Oryctolagus cuniculus: one gene and its partners. The protein of the gene in region 1 interacts with the protein of each later gene in a biochemical or structural test. Links are inferred from orthologs where the notes say so. Each region holds a gene or a part of one and is shown in the gene's direction. Other genes may lie near its edges.

Region 1 (3,743 bases):
ATGAATGAAACGGCGGCCGGCGCGGCCCGCGCCCATCCCCCCGGGGCCACCCCGAAGTCCCGGGGCTTCTCCAGTTAAGGAAAGCGCTGTTAAAAATAAAGAAAAAAAGTTTTAAAAAAGTCAAGAATGGGCAAAGTGTCCATTTAGCTTTTTAAAAAACTCAAAGAGCCCAATGGACAGACTACGCTCACTGCGTGATGCATTCTGCCCTGCGGGACCGGGGCCACGCACGCCCGGTTTCTGCTTCAAAATAGCCCGACGCGTGACTCCTCGTGGCGCCGACTCCTCGCTGTCGCCCACGGAGGCGGCCCCAGGGTAAACTCCGAGCCCCCCCACCCCGGTCGCCCTGGGCCCCCAGAACCGATGCGGGCGCGCCCGGGGGTCGCACGTAGTCCCCGGCATCAGCGACTCCCGTGCCCAGCGATTTTTTTATTATTTTTTTAATTTAAAAAAACTGGGGGGTGGGGGGCGGTTAGCAGCACCCGCATCGTGGCTTGGCCGCCTCGCAGTGGCCGCACGTGTGCTGGGCGCGAGGTGTGCGGGGGGACCCCCGCGAGGCCGGGCGGGTGCGGACACGAGGCGGCCCCGGGCGCCAGGGGCGGGACGGAGGCAGCGCCGGCCACCATTTTGGGCGGCTGCCTGTATTTTAACTATCCGAGCGAACGCGTGAGGGGCCACAGTCCCCTTGCCGCGCGCGGGGCTCGCCCCACGGGCGTGGGCCCCGACCCCCCGCACCAGCGCCGCCCCGCGTCCCCGCCAGCGCGCGGGGCCCCGATTCTACACGTGTTCCTGAAAATGAAAGGGGATGCGAGCGCCTCCCGGGGGTGCCCTCGTGGCGCTGCCCCCTCCACGCGGGTGGCCGCCCGCCCCACCCCGCCGGTCTCGGGGGCCACCCCCGCCCCCGCCCTGCGCCCCGCTTCCCCGGCGGGCGGCGGGGTGCGATTTGCATGTCTATGAGCACTCGGCTCCGGGACGGCTCCCGGGCTCGGCCCCTCGCGCGCCCGCCCCCGCGCGCGCCCCGCCCCCCGCCCCCATTCTCTGCCCGGCTTTGATCTCCGCTGAACAGCGGTCGCGTCACTCGGGCTGCTGGGGAGTTTTGTGGAAGTTGCAAAGTCCCGGCGCCTGCACAGCGCTGTCGGCGCGGCAGCGGACGGGCGGCCGGAGCCCAGCGCGCACCCAGCACCCCGCCGCCGGGCCGGCCATGGAGCACCAGCTCCTGTGCTCCGAGGTGGAGGCCGTGCGCCGCGCCTACCCCGACGCCAACCTGCTCAACGACCGGGTGCTGCGCGCCATGCTCAAGGCGGAGGAGACCTGCGCGCCCTCCGTGTCCTACTTCAAGTGCGTGCAGAAGGAGATCCTGCCGTCCATGCGCAAGATCGTGGCCACCTGGATGCTGGAGGTGCCGGCCGCGCCGCTGCTACGGAATCCGTGTTTTCCGAATAAATAACCCCGAGAGCGGGCAACTTCCGACCCGGGCAGGGGCGCGTGGGGGCTGGGGCGGCCCGGAGCGCGCCCCTCTGCAGGCGCAGGGGGAGGGGCGGCGCCGGGGGCCACCGCGGCGGGTGCGGGGTGCAGCCCGGGCGCCCTGCGCGGGCCCGGGGGGAGGGGGCGCGGGTCGGATCTTTAGGTGAATGCCCACGGACACGTATGCAAGTGCCGCTCGTGCCAGTGTTACGCGCCATCTTTGCTCTTTTATTGCAAAGCTAACGCGTTTATTAATCATTGGGGGCGGGGAGCGGCCGGCGGGGCGCGGAGGGACCGCCGCGAGGGTCCGCACGGCCGCCCGGAGCCTGCGGGAGGGGCGCGGGGCCGCGGCGCGGGCCGCTCCGAGGGACCCGGCTCGGGAATCCGGGGAGCCCCTTTGTCCCCGCGGCGGGCGCCGGGACACCCCACATGGGCGGCGTGGGCCACGCGGCGCGCCGGGCTGCAAGGTCGCGTGGCCCCCGAGGCGCCGGGGGGCTCGGCTCCGGGGGTCGTCCCGGGGCGGGCCGGGGGCCTGGGGCGCGTGCTCAGGCCCGAGGGGCGCGCGGGCGTCTTTGAGCCGCTTCTCGCAGCTCGGCGCAGTGCCCTTGCGCCCGAGGCGAAGGGGGGGGTCCCCGAGTTTGAGTTCCTGGGGCTCCCCCCGGGGCCTGCCGCGGGCTCCCGGCCCCCGGCCCAGGTAGAGCACCGCCCGAGGGTCATTTTCAGGGGTCTTCTGCGCGCCCAGTTATTTTTTTAATATTTTTAAATATTTTTTGAAAAGATGACGTCTGGGGAAATGCGGCGCGGCGGCCTGGGACGCCACCTTTGTGTCTCGCGGGCGCGGGGCGAGCGCTGCGCCGGGCCACCGCGGCCCCAGGCCCCCGGCCCCCTGCCCGCCCCCAGCCCCCGAACCCCAGCGGGTGCCGGCCCCGGATACCCCGCGCGGGCCGGGGTCCTGGGGGTCGTGCGTCCGCGCCGGTCGCGCGGGGACTTTCCCTTTCAGTTTCGGGGTGGGTGGGCCCCAGGCACGCGCGTGGCGGCGAGCGCACCCCGGGAAGCCCTCGCCGGCCCCTGGCCCGGCGCCCTCGGGCACGGAGACCCTGGCGCGGGGCGCGGGCGGCGGTCACGGCCCCGCGTCTTCCCGCAGGTCTGCGAGGAGCAGAAGTGCGAGGAGGAGGTCTTCCCGCTGGCCATGAACTACCTGGACCGCTTCCTGTCGCTGGAGCCCCTGAAGAAGAGCCGCCTGCAGCTTCTGGGGGCCACCTGCATGTTCGTGGCCTCCAAGATGAAAGAGACCATCCCGCTGACCGCCGAAAAGCTGTGCATTTACACCGACAACTCCATCCGGCCGGACGAGCTGCTGGTACCCGGGGGGCGCCCTGCGGGCCGCGGGATCCCCGCTGGGCGGGCGCGGGGAGGAGAGGCGCGGGCGGCCGGGCCGGGGCCGGGGCCGGGGCTGGGGGCGGCCCTCGCCGGCGCCCGCCGCTCGCGGTCCGCGGCTCCCACCAAGTTTTCGCCCGGCAGCGGCGTGGCCGGGCAAGCGTGGGCGGCGCGCGCCCCCTAGCGGCGCGAGCCCGGACGGCCTTCGGGCTCCAGGTGGCGGAAGGTGGCCTTTTTTTGTCCTTGCCTGCACAAGGTCGCCTCGCGGTCGCCTCCTCCCGTCTGGATCAGGGACCGTGTGCGGGTTCCTCTCCCCCACCGCGCCCCGCATTCCCTGGGCGCGCCCCTCCCTGTTCCGCCCTCCTCCCCAGGGCCCCCCCCAACCCGCGGAGGGCAGACCCCTGCGCGTGCGGCTCCTGACGCGCGCTGCGCCTTTCGCCCGCTCCCGCAGCAAATGGAACTGCTCCTGGTGAACAAGCTCAAGTGGAACCTGGCCGCGATGACCCCCCACGACTTCATCGAGCACTTCCTCTCCAAAATGCCGGAAGCCGAAGAGAACAAGCAGATCATCCGCAAGCACGCGCAGACCTTCGTCGCCCTGTGCGCCACAGGTGGGGCGCCCCGGCCAGGGCCTCGCGCCCCACCACCGCGCGCCGCCCAGGGGAGGTGGCCCCGGGGTCTCCCCGCCTGCCTGCTCTCCCAGCCTGCCTGGGGGCGGGGGGGGGCCTCTTCCAGCGACGGCCCCCTGTGCTGCGCTGGGCGCGCCTGGCAGCCGTGACCACTGCGTGCCCAGCCGGCTCTGCCTCTGCGGCCGGGCTGCCCGCCCCCACCCACCTCCACCCCTCCCCGTGTCCTCAAGGAGCCTGGACTGCGGGGGCCCCTCCTGGCCTCTCCCGGGCTGG
Region 2 (3,743 bases), about 100 Mb from region 1:
CAGGCCCTGAGTGCAAAGACGAGGGTGTGATCCACGCCACCGGACCCCCAGTCCCCTCCCCCATACACCCTTCAGCTGTCGCAGAGGACCAGAGAAGACAGCTGGGGGTCCTGGTTCAGAGGGAGCTGGGGAGGGGTGCTGGTGCTGGAGGCTCAGGAGAGGCCAGGCCGAGCCCCTCCCTAAACAGTCAGAACATTTCCACACTCCCTTTTACTCCTCAGTTGCAGGACTGTGCCCCCTGCTTCATAAAGAACTTTGGATTTCATGTCCTGCAAGCCACATACAATCAAAGAGGCAAGAAACTTTTCTGCCTTTTTTAGGGAGATTGGGGTGCATCTGCCCAGATTAATGTCAGGGTCCTCTCCTAAGCCCTCGTCAACCCAGGGTGCCACGCAGATGCCTGGTAGTGACATGCTGGTGGTCACTCTCCTCCAAGGACCTACAAAGAGTTAATGTCCCTGGGGCCCAGCCTAGGAAGATTCCAGTTCCTGCCCAGGCCCAAGATAGTTGCTGGCCAGATGCCCCTGGCATGCAAGACTGGAGAGGAGGAGGAGGGGCACACCACGCGCCTGCTTGGGATTCCTGACTGTGTCCCAGCTTCAGAGAACAGGGGAAGGGGGTGGGTGCCTTTGGGTGTGGACGGAAAGCCAGTGAAACAAGACCATGGCAAGTCACTGGCCAGCTCAGACGTGTTTGTGTTTCTCTTTTCTTAGCTCAGTGAGTACTGGGTATGTGTCACACTGCCAAATCCCCGATCACAAGTCTCCATGAACCAGCGGTGAGCTAGGATAATAAAACCCCTGACATCACCATTCCAGAAGCTTCAGAAGACTGCATATATAAGGGGCTGGCTGTAGCTGCGGCTGAAGGAGCTGACCCGCCAGCTGACCCCCGACACTCACCTAGCCACCATGGACATCGCTATCCACCACCCCTGGATCCGCCGCCCCTTCTTTCCTTTTCACTCGCCCAGCCGCCTCTTTGACCAGTTCTTCGGAGAGCACCTGTTGGAGTCTGATCTCTTCCCAACTTCTACTTCCCTGAGCCCCTTCTATCTTCGGCCACCCTCATTCCTGCGGGCACCCAGCTGGATTGACACTGGACTCTCAGAGGTGAGTCTCCTCTGCTTGAAACCTCCTTGAAACTCCCCTATTCATTTTCCTTTCCTTCCTTGCCTAAAAACCACTTTAGGCTCATGTGTGTCCATAAGTGAAGAAAAATGAGGTTACTGCCTCCCTCCTCTGGGCACCTGTTTCTGTTTGATACTTCTCTGTATCTTACTACATTTTCCCCTGAGCTGTGCATCCCTGATGCTCTCTCCTCTAACTTCTAAGCAAGATACCCGTTCCTGGTTTGGTTCAGAAAGATTTGAAGAGAAGGGAACTGCCTTCTAACGCTTTGCTCACCTCTTCTAATAATAGTTTGTACTCCTGAGAGACTTTATCATCTCAAGTTTCAGAGTCCTACCTCATCCTGAGCTTTTCATCCTCACTAGGGGGAACTGGCAACAACAACCACTATTTTTTCCTTTCCATTCCCTCTTTTTATTTATTTATTTTTGTTTTATTAAACGAATACAACTTCATGCAGTTAATATACGCAGATTTGAGATCTGTTCCCTCTTGTATGATTTTCCAAGTTCCTTGGGGTTCTGACAGAGCACTGGCCTGGGTCCAAGCCTTATGAGGGAAGAATAGGACCAGTCTTAGGACCCTCTCGCTTGTCCTAAGAGGGTGGGAGAATGCGGTGACTAGATAAGGTTGACAGGCACTGTCAAAGATAACACTGCGGTTTAAAAATATTCGAGTGTGGGTAAACAGGAGCTGAGTGGGCAAGGGCTTTGGAAGGGCAAGCAGAACATTCCAGATTGTATGGGTGGGACACTTGGCAGAGAACTGAGCAAGAAGAAGGGGCCTTTGTCTCATAGACAAATGACAAAGCAAGGCATTGGGGTCAAAGAGGCAGCAGAAGCCATGCCCAGACCCATCTTGTGATTGGTTCCCTGGGTGATCTTTCCTTATAAATAAAGTTTGGAATTGATGACTGATAGGCATGCCTTGGGTACCACTGTGGTATATTTAGCAGAAAAGAGGAGGATAAAATAGCTGTATAGAAAGCAAGTCTACAAAATGACGATACTGTACCAGTGTAATCAACATGCCTGTCACCTTTTCTCCCACCTCCCCCTTCCCTCATCTTGCTATTTCTAGATGCGCCTGGAGAAGGACAGGTTCTCTGTCAACCTGGATGTGAAGCACTTCTCCCCAGAGGAGCTCAAGGTCAAAGTGTTGGGTGATGTGATTGAGGTGCACGGCAAACATGAAGAGCGCCAGGTATGTAGCCTGCTTTTCCTTCTGCTCATTCATTCAGTGCATGTTGTCTACTGAATGATGCCAGACACTGCCATCAGCTTTTGAGGCTGGCGACATTCCTGTCCCAAAAAAATGAGCCTCTGAATCAGGGATAGCAAATCAATGGCTAGAAACTAAATTAGGGACTGAGCTGTTATTATTATTGCTGTTGTTGGCCAAAGCAGGGACCATGATTGTTTGTTTTGATTTGATTGGCTTAGATGGGATAAATTGGATGTTTGCTCCCCATTTAAGCCAGTGATTCTCAACCTTGGCCACATTAGAATCACTAGGAGAATGTTCACAAATCCAAATTCTCAGCTATGCCCTGAACGATTAAATAAAAATTTTTAGAGATAGGATGTAGGCAATACCATTTTTTTTTTTTCACTTCTAAAGACGATTGTAATCTACAGTCAAGCTGAAGGGCACTCATCTAAGTAGTTTTGTCAGACAACAAGTTGCTTTATGTAATTACATTAGCTACATATACCCTGAAGGCACTTGAATCCATAACTTTTCTTTTAGATGGTCCACTTCTCTTCAGGCTATCTTAATGCTACACTACTTGGTTTTCTGATGTTTCAAAGTTGTACTTGGTTCCCAATCTCTCGTAGTCCATGTGGAAATCAGTTAAATTGAGAGCCTTTTTGGAAAAATGCTGGAGATTGGGCAGGCATACAGGTCAGGGTCAGTTACTTTTACGAAATTCTGATGAATGGAACATATTCTCATGTCTTTGAACAGGTTTAATATCATTTCTCAACAATTAGTGATAATCCAAGGCTTCTGCATCAACTAATACAATTTAGCTTAATACAATCAGGTTGTTTCAGTTTTGCTCATATGACTTAAGTTTGGGTCACAGTCTCCCTGAATGGATGAAGTCACTTTTTTTTTCCCCTTAGGAGCAATCTTATTAGTCTGGAACATTCTGGGAATTGTTGAAGGGTCAGGACAATTTCTGGGCTCCTTCAGGGACTCAGTTGCCAGGACAAGATTCCAAATCCTATAGGCTCAGCCAAACTTTTGAAAAATATCCTTACACATCTATGCTTCAGGGTTAAAGTTCTGGTCTGTTTCAGACTCCTCACACTCTTATGGGTAGAAGTTACCACCTGGGCAACTTCATCTTTGCCCAAAACCTGAAATGAACTGCCCTTTATTTTTTCTCATGTTGTCAGTGGCCTTTAGACACACGTAAGGGTAATGGGGATGTCGGAGTTATAAGCAAGTGGGATTATTTCTTGTTCTTATATCTCTGCCTCTTTCCTCTTTTCTTGGATTAGGATGAACATGGTTTCATCTCCAGGGAGTTCCACAGGAAATACCGGATCCCAGCTGATGTGGACCCTCTCACCATTACTTCATCCCTGTCATCTGATGGGGTCC
Region 3 (3,743 bases), on another chromosome or scaffold:
CCGGGGGGCCACGGCGCCGCGGACGGCCTCGCGGGTTGGGGAAAGGGTGGCGAGGGCAGGCTCCGGGGGGCGCAGCCCCTTCCCCCTCGGCCCGGGAGGCGCAGCGTCGACGCCCCCCGCCCCCACCACCCTCTGGGGAGGTAGCGTTCGGCTCAGGTTGACCTGGGCTGGAAACTTCGGGGCGAGTCGGCGGTCCTGGTGTCTTCCTCCCCGCGCTGAGTCCCGGAGGCGGACGCCCCTCGCCCCCACCCTCGGCATCCCACGTGGGGCTGCCCCTTCCAGGGCCTCCGGCTCGCCCACCCCGGCGCAGCCCAGCCCGCCCCGACCAGATGGCTGATTCTCCCGGGGTTTCCACCAGGGAGGTCCCTCGGAGTCGGAGGCAGGATTGCGTTCCCGGCCGAGGCGCCTCGGCCCCCGGCGAGACCACGTACGTGTGCGCCGCGTCTTTAAAGGTCTCCCCCTTAGAAAAACTGAAAGTAGAAAAAGAAAGGAAGCAATTTCCGAGCAGATGCGTGACGACCCCTTCTCGCACCCTGCCCGGCCGCGGGCTCCGGGGTCCCGGGAGCCCCCACCCGCGTCCAGGCCCCCGGGCGGCGCGGCGCGCGAGGGATCCGCGCGGAGCCGTGACATTGACGCGCCCGGCGCCTCCCCTCCCCCGCGCTCCCGGCACACTCCGGGCCGCTCGGCACGCCCCCTCCCGTTGCCCTGCGTCCCGCGCGGCGCGCTCATCCCCGAGGGGCCCCTGCAGCCTCGCCGCGCGCAGACGGCTGCAGCCCTGCGGGGAGAGAAAGTGACCTCGCTTTGCTCGGGAGGAGCCAGGCAGGCTTGGGCGGCGCGGGAGAGGGCCGGGCGCGCGTGGGGGCGCCGTGGAGGAGGGGAGGCTGCAGGAACCCCGAGGAAGGCTCCCGGGCGGTCTGACTTGTCGTCCTCTCTCCTGTCCCCCGTTTCAGTCGCAAAGACCCCGGACCGAGACGCGCTCGGGTGGAGACTATGTGATCGCCTCGGTGTCGGTGCGGAGGACTTCGCTTCGGGGAGGGAAGAGGAGGGCTCGGCTCGCTCCCCGGCGGCTCGGCAGGCGGAGTTTCGCCGCGGCGGCACCAGGGTTGCGCCAGCCCGCGCCGGAGCCGGCGGGGCCGAGGAGAGCGGGACCGAGCTCCGGGGAGCCGCGGCGTGCAGGCGGCATGGAGAAGGACGGCCTGAGCCGCGCCGACCAGCAGTACGAGTGCGTGGCGGAGATCGGGGAGGGCGCCTACGGGAAGGTGTTCAAGGCCCGCGACCTCAAGAACGGAGGCCGGTTCGTAGCGCTGAAGCGCGTGCGGGTGCAGACGGGCGAGGAAGGCATGCCGCTCTCCACCATCCGCGAGGTGGCGGTGCTGAGGCACCTGGAGACCTTCGAGCACCCCAACGTGGTCAGGTGAGCCCTGGGGTCCGCGCCGTCGGGGGCCCGGGGAGGTGCGGGCTTCGCCGGCGCCGTGCCGCCGGTGTTTTCTCCCCGACCGCCCCGAGGGCCTTGCGGGGGAGGCCTTGGGGGCAGAACCAACAGACCTGAGACCACTGCTGCTTGCGTTTCCCGGCTTCGGGGGATCTTTCTTTCTTTCTTTCTTTCTTTCTTTCTTTCTTTCTTTCTTTCTTTCTTTCTTTCTTTCTTTCTCTTTCTCTCTCTCTCTCTCTCTCTCTCTCTCTCTCTCTCTTTCTTTCTTGCGACTGCAAAGGAGAGGGAGCAGGTTGTCCGTGTGATAAGCGAGGAGAAAACTTCTAGGGTGGAGCCTTGCACAAATGAGGTCTTTAAAAATGCAGAAACGGATAAGAATATGTTTGCTAATCACACCCAGTTTCTCTGTATTAAAGTTGCACAATGAGAATGGCTTACTGATGATCCGGGGAGTCGCCCAGTGGCAGACAGCATCGTCCCAGAGCTGTCATCCTTCTTGTCCGTGCCACTTCTCTCTGGGCTGGCATAGCCCCTGGACCACCGCTGCCAAGGGATGGGTGTCCAAGGTGTGGTGGCTTTAGATTCTCAGTGCTCTTTGTCCTTGCTTTTCCTGGGTGACTGGCAGGAGTGGGGTACGCAGTCAGTCCCTGAAGTCTCTGCTGTGCTGTGACCGGTATTAAAGATATTAAATGAAACTGTGTGTGTGTGTGTGAGTGAGACTTAGGGGAATGGTGGGTTCTTGGTGATCCTGGAATCGCCCCTTTGCGCAGTTGACTGTGTGTGCGTTTGTGTCATCTTGTTTTTAAACAGAGGAGCTGCATGGCTTCAGGTCACAAAGGCATGCACGGAGGCAGAGCGGGTTGTGGACTCCTCACGCGTTGGGAGAAGGAGGTCCCAGACCCTCCTTCCGCGAGGCATTGTGCTCAACACTTACGTGCCTGCTGCGTGCGCTGCGGATGAAGTGATGTAAATAAGCATGGCTAAATATTTTTGTGAAAAGTCAAACAGTTTAACATTACTCATCAAAACGGAGCGACCCGAGAATGACCTGAAATACCAAACCCTGGACAGGCTCAGGGAGACCGGGTGCCTGCAGTCTCCGTGGGAGGTTCTGACCTGCCTCTTCTTACCCTAGGCTGGGTGATTGGTGTAGTGTTTTGTTCCCAAGACAGTGAAGACTCAGGCTGGAAGGCAGCAGAGAATCATAAATACATAAATAAGGTAGTAAATGACTGTAAAGATAGGACTCCATTATACCTCTCCATCAGCTTGTCAAGGGTGGAGGTCGAAGATAAAGAGACTGGGAGAGTGTTTTGGGAGGTGGGCTTACATATTAAAGCGACAGGTTACCTTTTCTCCGTGTTTTTGAAAAAACTAAACAAACAAACAAACAAAAAAACAAAATACCCCTGGAGGGTGTGTTTGTTGGTATCAGAGTGGGCGTAGAGGGGACAGTTAGCTCCCTCTAACTTAGTACTTTCCCTAGGGTGTCGCCTAAGCCCTTCCAAAGGGTGACTTCACCAGTAGAATTTTGAGACCAAGATTTCTGGTTTTGTCCCATCCCAGGCAGCTGCCACATCTGACCTTCCAGCATGGGGGTGTTACAGAGGCACGCTGGTGGTACTACCACTGTTGTTAACGAGGCAGGACTCGCTCTCCTGACGGAGGAGAGCTCGCGCCCCGTGCTGCCGCGCTGGGGCCCCTCCGTCCCACCCGCGGGGTGAAACCTGCTGAGGCTGGTGTGTCTTCAGAGATCTCTCACTGAGCCACAACTGAGATTCTGCACTGCAAATGTCAGGAGGATTTACTTAACGAATCAGAAGACACCTTTTTCTAAGACTGTCTTTGCCTGTTGAGCGGTGCGGTGCCACCCACCCCTTGGAGTTGGTAGTTGGTGAGGGTCAAGTGAGACGCCATGTGTGAAAACACTTTGTGCATCTAGAAGCACTTCAGGTGTCTACACATTGTGTTCCTGAAGATTAGTGGGACGCGCTTGCCCAGAACAGGTTCCCAGCAGGCATCAGTGCACCTGGCCTTTTTATTTTTTTTTCCAAGAACAAATCATATTCATACCCTTAGATTACAGGCTTCGGAGCCACAGGGGCTACTTGAGTACAGTGAGCCTGTAGTTTGTCCACAAAGGCTGTCAGTCATATGCCATGAAGCTCAGTGACACTTGAGGAAATTATTGATGATGTCACCCTCACGAGCTACAGATCTCTCTTCCTGTTTCATTTCCTTCCTGTTTCTTCTTCCACCGCTGCCTTGGGACGACCACTGGCTCCCATGATCGCCACACTGAGCACACTGA

Evidence for each region.
Region 2: of the proteins of CCND1 (region 1) and CRYAB, one has a biochemical effect on the other in vitro, tested with the Homo sapiens proteins (2 studies listed by BioGRID, with this or other methods). The link is inferred for Oryctolagus cuniculus from reciprocal best matches to the Homo sapiens genes CCND1 and CRYAB.
Region 3: the proteins of CCND1 (region 1) and CDK6 form a complex in vitro, tested with the Homo sapiens proteins (3 studies listed by BioGRID and IntAct, with this or other methods). The link is inferred for Oryctolagus cuniculus from reciprocal best matches to the Homo sapiens genes CCND1 and CDK6.

What each region holds. Positions count from the first base shown.
Region 1 is NC_091432.1:3,247,218-3,250,960, reverse strand, and holds the start of CCND1 (G1/S-specific cyclin-D1), read left to right. Parts: upstream 1-1,053; 5' UTR 1,054-1,201; coding exon 1,202-1,399; intron 1,400-2,608; coding exon 2,609-2,824; intron 2,825-3,292; coding exon 3,293-3,452; intron 3,453-3,743. UniProt on the Homo sapiens protein: Regulatory component of the cyclin D1-CDK4 (DC) complex that phosphorylates and inhibits members of the retinoblastoma (RB) protein family including RB1 and regulates the cell-cycle during G(1)/S transition.
Region 2 is NC_091432.1:103,864,801-103,868,543, reverse strand, and holds the start of CRYAB (alpha-crystallin B chain), read left to right. Parts: upstream 1-891; 5' UTR 892-911; coding exon 912-1,112; intron 1,113-2,210; coding exon 2,211-2,333; intron 2,334-3,640; coding exon 3,641-3,743. UniProt on the Homo sapiens protein: May contribute to the transparency and refractive index of the lens. Has chaperone-like activity, preventing aggregation of various proteins under a wide range of stress conditions.
Region 3 is NC_091447.1:42,948,099-42,951,841, forward strand, and holds the start of CDK6 (cyclin-dependent kinase 6), read left to right. Parts: upstream 1-1,181; coding exon 1,182-1,414; intron 1,415-3,460; exon of another isoform or gene 3,461-3,743. UniProt on the Homo sapiens protein: Serine/threonine-protein kinase involved in the control of the cell cycle and differentiation; promotes G1/S transition. Phosphorylates pRB/RB1 and NPM1.